3 linked regions of the Ovis aries genome follow. The protein of the gene in region 2 interacts with the protein of the main gene of each other region in a pairwise test. Links are inferred from orthologs where the notes say so. Each region holds a gene or a part of one and is shown on either strand. Other genes may lie near its edges.

The links.
Region 1: the proteins of ITSN2 (region 2) and WAS interact in a two-hybrid assay, tested with the Homo sapiens proteins (2 studies listed by BioGRID). The link is inferred for Ovis aries from reciprocal best matches to the Homo sapiens genes ITSN2 and WAS.
Region 3: the proteins of ITSN2 (region 2) and KHDRBS1 interact in a two-hybrid assay, tested with the Homo sapiens proteins (2 studies listed by BioGRID and IntAct, with this or other methods). The link is inferred for Ovis aries from reciprocal best matches to the Homo sapiens genes ITSN2 and KHDRBS1.

What each region holds. Positions count from the first base shown.
Region 1 is NC_056080.1:56,403,907-56,406,447, forward strand, and holds the end of WAS (actin nucleation-promoting factor WAS), read right to left. Parts: coding exon 2,453-2,541; intron 2,194-2,452; coding exon 2,079-2,193; intron 820-2,078; coding exon 764-819; 3' UTR 511-763; downstream 1-510. UniProt on the Homo sapiens protein: Effector protein for Rho-type GTPases that regulates actin filament reorganization via its interaction with the Arp2/3 complex. Important for efficient actin polymerization. Possible regulator of lymphocyte and platelet function.
Region 2 is NC_056056.1:31,843,309-31,846,963, reverse strand, and holds part of ITSN2 (intersectin-2), read left to right. Parts: coding exon 1-92; intron 93-506; coding exon 507-698; intron 699-2,378; coding exon of another isoform or gene 2,379-2,380; exon of another isoform or gene 2,381-3,655.
Region 3 is NC_056055.1:235,469,987-235,473,741, reverse strand, and holds the start of KHDRBS1 (KH domain-containing, RNA-binding, signal transduction-associated protein 1), read left to right. Parts: upstream 1-1,484; 5' UTR 1,485-1,641; coding exon 1,642-2,023; intron 2,024-3,755. UniProt on the Homo sapiens protein: Recruited and tyrosine phosphorylated by several receptor systems, for example the T-cell, leptin and insulin receptors. Once phosphorylated, functions as an adapter protein in signal transduction cascades by binding to SH2 and SH3 domain-containing proteins.

The sequences.
Region 1 (2,541 bases), on a different chromosome or scaffold from region 2:
GCTTTTTCCCACCTCAGGGTCTTTGCATTGGCTATTCCCTCTGCCTGGAAGGCCCTTCCCTCTAAATATTCACATGGTTGAATCCTTTCTCTCTAGATTCAGCATAACTGTCACCTCCTCCAAGTGTCTTTCCCTGAACTCTACATCTTACCATCACTTCCTCTCAGCACAATATAGCTCTTACCATGATCTGTAACTCTTTTTGTTTTTATTTAATTCCTTGTTTCTTGTCTATCTCCTGCCCTAGAATGTTGACCTCACAAGACCAAGAATTTTTGTTGTTTGTTTCCCATTGCTTTATCCCCAGCCCCCAAAGTAGTGCCTGGTAATAAATATCTGTCGAAAGAAGGAAGGGCAGAAGGAAACAAAGAAATACAGACTAAATGACCAAGGGAACAAATGAATAAATAAATATACATATGTATGGCTAAACAAATGAAATAGGAATAAAAGGAACTTTGGGGGAAAAGGACCCCAAATTCTCACATTTGGTAGGTAAAGAAACTGAGATTTAAAGAAACAAAAAGACAGTTATTTTATTTTTTTTTAAAAATCCTTGAATGAGTTGAACTGAGACATTTTATATAAAAAGGTCCCTGGCTATTGCTAGGGTGAGTGTGTGTGGGAGGAGGCCAGTCAGAGATAACAGCATAGGAGGGGTGGGTAGGAAAGAAAAGGGGCTTGGGGGCCAGGAAGTTAAGTGGAGGGTGGCGAGGAGGGCTGCCAGGGGAGCCCAGCACAGAACAGCAGAGGTGGTGGTGATTCAGTCGTCCCATTCATCATCATCATCATCATCCCCGGCCTGGTCCTCCCCTTCGTCTGGAGGGAGAGAGAAAGAGTGGAACTCAGGATGGGTAGGAGGGTTCAAAAGCCCTGGAGAGAGGAGTTACTAGGGTCTAGGAGGTTGGGATACTAAACCCTGGGGGCTGAGATCTCCCACTTGGAAGTTAGATCTGAGGTTTGTGTGTTAGATAAAGGGACCTCCTAAGAGGAGGGAGAGTTAGGGAGGGGCAAGATAGGGACTATAGCTGGGGTCTAGGTTCTAGTTGGAGTCGAGGTTAATATTATAAAAAATATGTGGTTGGTTGGGATATTATTGTCACACAAAGGGTTACTGTTAACAGGCTTGTCACTCAATGGAGTGGATTTAAATATTAGCAAAGGTGGAGGAAGTTACAATGTTGTTTTTTCATAGTGCGTTAATGTTCACATTGTTGACACAGAATGGGGTTAGTGATGATATCATGGTCAAAAGAGGAGGTTTGTTATAATTCTGTCATATAATGGATTCCTATTGATCTGTGAACAGACTCCTGGGTTGATGTCAGTGTTATTGTCGAAGCCGAACTTTAATAATATTATTGTCACACAGTAGGTTGAGGCTAATACTCTCTCTTTCTCTGCTCTCCTCAGTCATGTCTGACTCTTTGCGACCCTTTGGACTGTAGCACACCAGGCTCCTCTGTCCATAAGACTTCCCAGGCAAGAATACTGGAGTGGGTTGCCATTTCCTCCTCCAGGGGCGCCTCCTGAATTAGGGATCGAACCCGCGTGCCCTGCATCTCCTGCATTGGCAGGCGGATTCTTTATCACTGAGCCACCTGGGAAGCCCTGAGGTTAATAGTATCCTCATATAATTCTCATATAATGACAATGCTGTTGATACATTAAGGGACTAACATTAACACTATTGTAAAAGATTGAATTAGTTATAATATTGTCACTAAATGAGTTAATCTTTTGACACATGACATTTGAGTTAATATTAGTGTCAAAGAAGGGGTTCTTTATAATACTATCATCACATAGTGGGCTAATGTTAATACTATTGAACATATGGGGTTAATGTTAATATCATTGTCAAAGAGAGTTAATCATATTACTGTTACATAATGACAGTTAACACTGTCAAAAAAGAGACTGCTACAGATTCATGTTCATTCTCACATCAACAGATGGGACTAATTGCTGGTGGCTGTTGGGGGTGTTTTTAGGTCAACACTAGCTGGGAACCAGGGCCACAGGTCCTGGCAGGATGGGCTCTGAATGGCAGGCTCACAGGGAGGGTGCACTCTCACCAGAGGAATGGATGGCTTTGCTTCTCTTCTGCATCACGTGCATCAGGGCACCCACCAGCCCCTCTGAGCTCTGAGGTGGTGGCTGCAGCGCTGAGCTCTCTGGGGCCCCCGGGGTCTGCAGCAAGCAGGATCCAGCACAGAGGGCTCAGGGCCTGTGAGAGGAGCACTTCTCCCCACCCCTTCATCATTCTTTCTCCTCCCACACACTCTAGTCGCCTTGAAACTCACCTCTCCCCACCAACCTCCCAACCCTATCAGTGAACCCCCAAATCGTGGGACCCCCATCACTCTCAGCCCCAGCCCCCTACCATCCTCACTTGCACAGCACACCCCAGAGTCCCAGTTCCCCAATCCTCCATCACACTGGTTCTCACCTTGTTCAGCTGAATTCCCTGCCGGATTTGATCCAAAAGTGCCCCCCGACCCCCACCAGGGGCCGGGCCCCCCACAAGCCCCAGAGAAG
Region 2 (3,655 bases):
AGGGAAAAAGCGACAGAAAGGATGGTTTCCTGCCAGCCATGTTAAACTTTTGGGTCCAAGTAGTGAAAGAACTACACCTGCCTTTCATCCTGGTATGGAAATGTGTTAACTTGTGTTTCATCTTAGGAAGCTTTTTTTTTTTTTTTTTAACTCAGCATTTCTTAAATTAGCCAATTCTTTGAAAAATATTTTAAAATTTGTTCTTTCTTTACCTCTGTGAGAACTTCCTTTCTAAAAAGTTCTGTTAGAAACAGCCAGCTGTTCAGTGATGCTTGAACTACATCACTCCTTGAAATTGTTTAATTGCTCTACCATCATACTTCAAAGCAGTTGCTTGGATTTCCAAACTACATTTGGGAAATTCTTGCTTTAGTGAAACAGGGAATAGAGGAAGGAGGGTGGGAGAGAACAGCTAGAGGGAAATGTTAGCAGAATTTTAACATATGATGCTAATAGGGAGAATTACACAATTTGACTTGTTGCTCTTGTTGTTCTTTCTCTGGTAGTATGTCAGGTGATTGCCATGTATGACTACACAGCAAACAACGAGGATGAGCTCAGTTTCTCCAAGGGACAGCTTATTAATGTTTTAAACAAGGATGATCCTGACTGGTGGCAAGGAGAAATCAGTGGGGTGACTGGTCTCTTCCCTTCGAACTATGTTAAGATGACGACGGATGCAGATCCAAGTCAGCAGTGTGAGTAATGTCAGACTATTTACTTCTTCATAGTGCATCGGCTTTAGCGTACAGCACTGCATTCCGTACTTTTCTCAACCAGAATCTTAAGCTGAGCACTCTCAGCGAATGTTTATTAATGTTTAGAGTAAGAAGATATAATAAGAAACTTCTACAAAATCAAAAGTTATATTGCTTTTTTTCCAATTCTGTTTTCCTAGCTTCAGACCTTACTGTTAGACTTTATCTGAAAAAAAGTTCTAGTTCTTTCATGAGTTCCTTGGTGTGATAACAGTCTCTGCTGCGGCTTCTCTTTATACCAGCCTTTTTCAGCTTAAGAGAGAGTAGAGACTAGCTGGCAGTTAGTGTGTTCAGCTGTGCAGAATGACCCTTGTAGTGTACAGGTGCTATTAATTTTGCAACCTTATTTCCCATGTTATTACACATCACCAGGTTAGAAGAAAATTATAAAATTTATTTTACAAATAAAGTGCTTGCAAAAATCTCATTAGGTGATTTTTTTAAGGTAGGTAACTCATGCCACAGAGATATATGAATTAAGATCTGTTTTACTACTTTTACTGCAGGGATCCATATCTCAATGTATACGATTTGGTATTATATAACATTATCTCTTGATAGTTACCTCACCTTTCTTACACTTGACAGTAAATGTAGCATTAGAGAATAAACAGTACTTGGAAATATTTTTTTAGCTTCATAAAATAGAGGTCACCTTTCCTCACCCTTTTGATCTTTTTGTCCTTCTTAATAAAATACATCATGATTTGTGTTTTTATCATTCTCGTGAAATTATCTAAAAGCTTTAGCCTTTCATTTTAACTTAGCTTCTAAGAACATATAAATGGTAACCCAGTCAAAGCTGAGCTGTGTTTACAATTAAGTGCAAGTATTATGAATTTACTTTGTACTGTATCATTTTAAATTATTAGTGCATTATTTTCACTTTAGAGCTTATAAAGATCATTGTGATTTGGGGAGAAGACCGTCCTTTAGATAGAGCAGCTGAATTTCCCAGTCTGGACGTGGAGTCCAGTTTTTTATGCTTTGAATATTCCTAAAAATACCTCAGGGTTTCAGAAGAGGTAGTAAGGAAAATTATAAAACTTGGATTACTTAAATGAAAGACCATTTTTAAATTCTGCTGATGGTTTGGCAGTTTTCAGGGCTTGCCAGTTTGTCTGGTTAATAAACATACCCGAGGTGTCTTTCCTGGGCCTGAGAGAGGAAGGTACTTTTCAGACCCACTAGGTCTGGAAGATCTTGGGCTAAGTGATCCTTGGAGGCATTCTGGTTTATCAGTGCATTTGACTTTTATAGTGTCTACAATGTAAAGTGATCATGTTCCAAATGTTTTGTTGTTATCTTATTTTCCAATGGTGGAACATATTTTTCCCTTTTAAGTCTTTTATAATAAGAAATATAAGAAAACAATGAAACTGTTCTAAAGGAAGAACAGCCAGGAGTATATGAGTCAGTGAAAACTAGCTAAGTTTTAGACTATCGTGTGTGTTTCTCAAGCCTTCATACATTTTCACTTCACTAGGTAGTTAGGATATTTTCTAAAGTTTGAGAATTTTAGTAGTTCAAATTTGTTGATGTTGCATGTAATCAGTAGAATTTTTCTCACCCACTTGATTTGCTTTATGTTCATTTTATCCCTCATTTTTCTTTTTATAGGACCCAGTGTTGTCTTCCAGTGTGAAAGCACCCCAGAGACCCACTATCCAAGTTTGACTCTAGCGTGGAGACAGGGCAGGCAGCCCTGATCAAATATCTCCTACACAATTCCTTAGCTTCGTTCTCAAATGTTAGAGCCACTTGTGGTTATTTCTCTGGGTTTCTAATTTACAGTTAAAATTTATTTGTAACAAGTTAAAGGATAGTGGGTCTTTGTGTGGCTTTCCCTGCTGTTCACTCTGGCATCCTTTTAGCATTTTTCTCCTTTTTTAATTTGGTAATTGTAGGTCATTAGCATGCATACTGAGTTTGCCCTTACATGGTGGGAGTTCAAACACACAAAGACCCACTATTTGCACAAACTGTTCTTGCTGGTTTGGAATGGGCTGCCATGCTTTTCTAATGTTACTGCAACATGTATATTCCTTATAGAATTCAGAACTGCTTATGTTTTGCTGTTACGTTTGACCTAATCCTAATCACAATGAGCTCTTAATTGGTTCAATATGCGATTTGTCCCCCAATAGGCACTGTTTCCTCTATTACTTTCTAATATGCCACTATAAGTACCAATATTTAAGTTTGTTAAAAGGCCAAGAATTGGAAATACCCGTTTCTCTGTTTTCTGTGTATTTTGGTGTGGGAGTGATGACACTTTAGGGGAGCTCTTCTTGCCTCATAGAAGAGGGAAGTGGCCTGCCCTACCCAGCCATACGTGCAGAACAGGGTGGGTTTTATCTGTTGCGGCTGTCCCAGAGTGAGCCTTGCGCCGTAGGAGTCCACTGGGGTCTCTGGGCTCGTGAAGATCCTGCTGATGTGCCGCGGCAGTCAGTTGTTACTTCTTTACTGATTACCTAAAAATGGCTTATTTTTGAGGAATGAAGGGCTCCCATTATTGACTATAAGATATGAAACTTTCCCTACCTTAGGCAGAGAATTTATATCTATACATTTTAAAGTCAGAAATTCATGTTATCTATGTTAATGAGGTGACTCCATATCCCAGGTCACAAAGGGGCGCTGATTGACTTTCTTCTTAATGTATTTAGTAAAGATCATAAGGAATGCTTGAAGAGTTTAAATGCCCTTGAAGCAGGCAGACAGTCTCTATCTAGTTGAGACTGAATTAGAGTGAAGGAAAGCTGCATGGGAGCTGGCATTCCTCTGGGACCATGAAGCTGCTCTGTGGCTACAGAACTGATTTTACCATTCAGAATTCTCTACCTAATATCTATTCTTCAGCCACATTGGTAACTTTGGCATAGGACTTTACTTCT
Region 3 (3,755 bases), on a different chromosome or scaffold from region 2:
TCTTCATTACAATTATCCAAAAACATTCCTTTCTTTTTTCCTCCTCCTTGATTATAAACTATCTATGTGACCTATGTGATAATTTATGGAGATTTGTGTTTTGTTCTCATTCCTGCTGGTGATTTATCTCCCTACCCCCAAGAAGGCAGCCAAGCCCTAATGTTCCCTAAGCTGAAGGCTTCTAAGTTTCAAATCTACAAATCAGCAGTTTTTAGGCTCCCAGAAGACAATTTCCAGAAATGCTTTTGGAAAGCGTGGGTTTATTAGGGGAACAGATCCAGAAGGAAAAGGGATGAGAGCAAATGCTTTGAATGAGAGAAGAAAAAAAAAAAAAATCTGTGGGGGGAAGGGTTAGAGAAGGTACCAAGTGTTAGAGTTTATGGAAAGTAAGGACCTAGCCTTCATCTGCATATAGCACCCCAGGATAAGGAGTAGGCTGTGGGAGACTGTCCACTATAATGCCTTGGCCTTGAGAGCTGTGGTAAGGGTCTATCTCTTTGAGCAAGTGTAGAAAGATGATTTACAGCAGGAGGATTAGCACTCACATCAGAAGAAGCCACCCGAATGATGCAACCATCACAGATTAGAGCTGGCCTCTACCCCACTTTTTTTGTGAAAGAAACACAATCTGCAGAAAGCAGTACTATACGCAGAGAGTTAAAATGCTTCACCTTTCAGACGACTTCTCTGATCAACAACGGCTAAGTCTAAGAACCCACTATACTGGAAACGACAGGATACGACTTCTTGGACTCCCTGTTTCGGTCTGGGGCCCTTTTCCTGGCTGGATATTAGGTCCCTGATCTGAACCCTCCCTCTTAGTTTAACTCCTCCAATAGCCTTCAGTCTTTCCACTGACCAGTCCTTCCTCAATGGCCCCCTCCAAGTCTGGCCGCATCTCCACCCCTCAACCCTACGTCAGACTCTCCCTTAGTCGTTCCTTCTTCACTCTAATCTCCCTTGCGCCTCTCACCCTCGCCTTCTTCTGCCCAGTCAGCCCCAATTCCCTCTCCTTCCCCTCCCGCATCCCCCGGGAGGGTCTCCTTTCATTCTTCAGTAACCACTCCCCTCCCCACCCCGCGCCCGACCCACCGACTGAGTACAGGCACCCCCCCTCCACAGCTCAGCCGTTGGAGGCGTGGCCCCGCGAGTAACAGGTCTCCCGCCCCACACTCCGCGGGCTCGCGCGCAGACAAAGACATTCCACAGCCCCCGCCCCCTCTGTGCGCTCGGCCAGAAGAGGGAGGAGACACGTGTCCCGCTAGCGCCGAGTCACGTGGAAAAGAAACGAACGGAGCCCGCGGCCTCCCGCGCACGCGCTCAAGTACCCGGCCTGGAGGGCTCGGAGGGAAAAGGGGAGAGAGGAGGCGACTTCTTCAGACTCCACGGCGGTGCGCAGGCGCCGTGGCCCGACCGGGGACTTTGTTCTCCGCGGAGAGACCCAAGGGCGGTGCCGGTGGCTGGCTGCGCACGCGCGCCGCCTCATTTCCGGTGCTCTCTTTTGCTGGGTCGCTCGGGTCGGCTTCGGTCGCTGTCGCTCCCGCTCTCCCACCCCCGCCAACCGCCGCTCGGGCCGCCGGCGCTCAGGCCTCTGCCGCTACCGCGTCGCTTCCTCGATCCCTTAATCGCACATCTTTCCCAATGCAGCGCCGGGACGACCCCGCCGCTCGCATGAGCCGGTCCTCGGGCCGCAGCGGCTCCATGGACCCCTCAGGTGCCCACCCCTCCGTGCGTCAGGCGCCCCCTCGGCAGCCACCGCTGCCTCACCGGTCCCGGGGAGGCGGAGGAGGGTCTCGCGGGGGCGCCCGGGCCTCGCCCGCCACGCAGCCGCCACCGCTGCTGCCGCCCTCGGCCACCGGTCCCGACGCGACAGTGGGCGGTCCAGCGCCGACCCCGCTGCTGCCCCCCTCAGCCACTGCCTCCGTCAAGATGGAGCCGGAGAACAAGTATCTGCCCGAACTCATGGCCGAGAAGGACTCTCTTGACCCGTCCTTCACTCACGCCATGCAGTTGCTGACGGCAGGTAAGCGGGCCTCTGGGGTCCCTCTGGGTCTCCGGGCCAGCCAGGGGCATGGGTGGTAGCGGCTTTGTTCCTCTTGCTTCCCGTTCCCTGAGGACCTCGGCAATCGTGGACTCCTCTCATCTTCATCTTCGGAAGCTTAAGATTCCACGTTCCCATCCCGGCCCAGAGTGCGAGGGAGAATTTCCAGACGGCAGTGGAGGCCCGGAGGGAACTTAGCCATCTCTTAGCGCAAAGATCTTGATGGATAAATGCCGCGTTCCCCGCCCCCTTGGCCGACCCTTCCTCCTCCCCTCTTGCAGCTGCCCTGCGCTCCGAGTGCTCAGATTCTTCCAGAAAGGAACCTTCATCTCCCCCTTCCCCCAAAGGGGAAGCTTGTTTGATCGCGGGTGGCTGTCGGCGCCTCAACTGAGTGTAGGAGGTGAAGACAGCCTGAGCCGGGAGGGACCGTGAGTGGGGCGGGGGGCGAGGTGAGATGGGATGAGACTGGGGTGCCCTGTCCAGCGCCGCGGCCGCAGGGGCCGGTCGGACTTAGCGGTAACTGGAGCTTGAGTTGCTTGGAGGCAGGAGCAACCTGTGGGAATCCGAGCTTGAGGTTTTCCGAATTATATTTCCGACCTCGGCAGATAAGATGGTCATTTCTGCCTAGCCAGACGTTTTGGATCCCTTTATTTTATAATGTGTGTTGTGCATTCAAGAAAGGGGAAAAAAATAAACCTAGAGACGGTGAAGGGGTGATAGAAGGAGGTTAAGGATGGTTTGCGTGGCATTCCCAATCAGATGGGGAAAAAAATTGACAGAAGTTTGCGTGGCCTCCTCCCCCGCTCTTCTCAGTAGTGAAACAGACGAGGAATAGTAGTCTTTGTTCTCTTGTCTGTAGACTAGCGCTCCTTTTTTGCGCAAAACTAGCCATCATCTAGTCGCTCTGATTTCTCCTGAAAACCGCCTATTTTGCCCTCTCTTCCTGTTAAAACGGTATAATGAGTGTCTTATGATACCTAAATTTTATAAGCAAATAAAAATTCAAAACCTTCCAACACTGAGTGAGTAGTTGGACTCTTTGGCAGGATTGAAATAATGGACAGGCCCTATATGAAAATATCTTTTTCCCTGCGTTTGTTCTCTGTCTCCCAACATTAGAGATCTTTACTTTTAAACAGTAAACAAAGCCCCAGACATTCAAGAATAACATTTAAATAAACTGCTTACGGCTTCAGCTCTGTGCTTTGCTCTTCTATAACACAGTCAGATTGTTTGAAACATTACTGTTCATTGTGTTCTTCTGGCAAACTCTTTGAGGGCAAGGAAAGCTTTTTAAATCTTATTGTCTTGCATATAGCAAATACCAGTTGTTTGAATCTGAAAGCAAGTACATGTAGGTTCAAGAACCTCAGACAATGGTAAAAGTTGACTGGGTTTTATTTTTATTTTCTTGCATCTTCAAACAGTCCAGATTAAATGTATAGAATAAAATAACAAACTTTAGAACTGTAAGGTGTTGACTTGGCTTTGAAATTCTAGCTCTTGACTAGTCATCTATTCTTGGGAAACTTTTTGAATCTCACTAAGCTCATCTGTAAAGTGGGGTGGTGAGTTGTGAGGATTAAATGTTGTATAAAAAGCTCTGGCACAGTTCCTTTTGACCTGTAATCATTAGCTAATAACTTGCCACCAGTTTTCTCCTAGTTGTAAATTCGTGGTACAGATTTAGGATGAAAACGCAAAAATTTTCTTG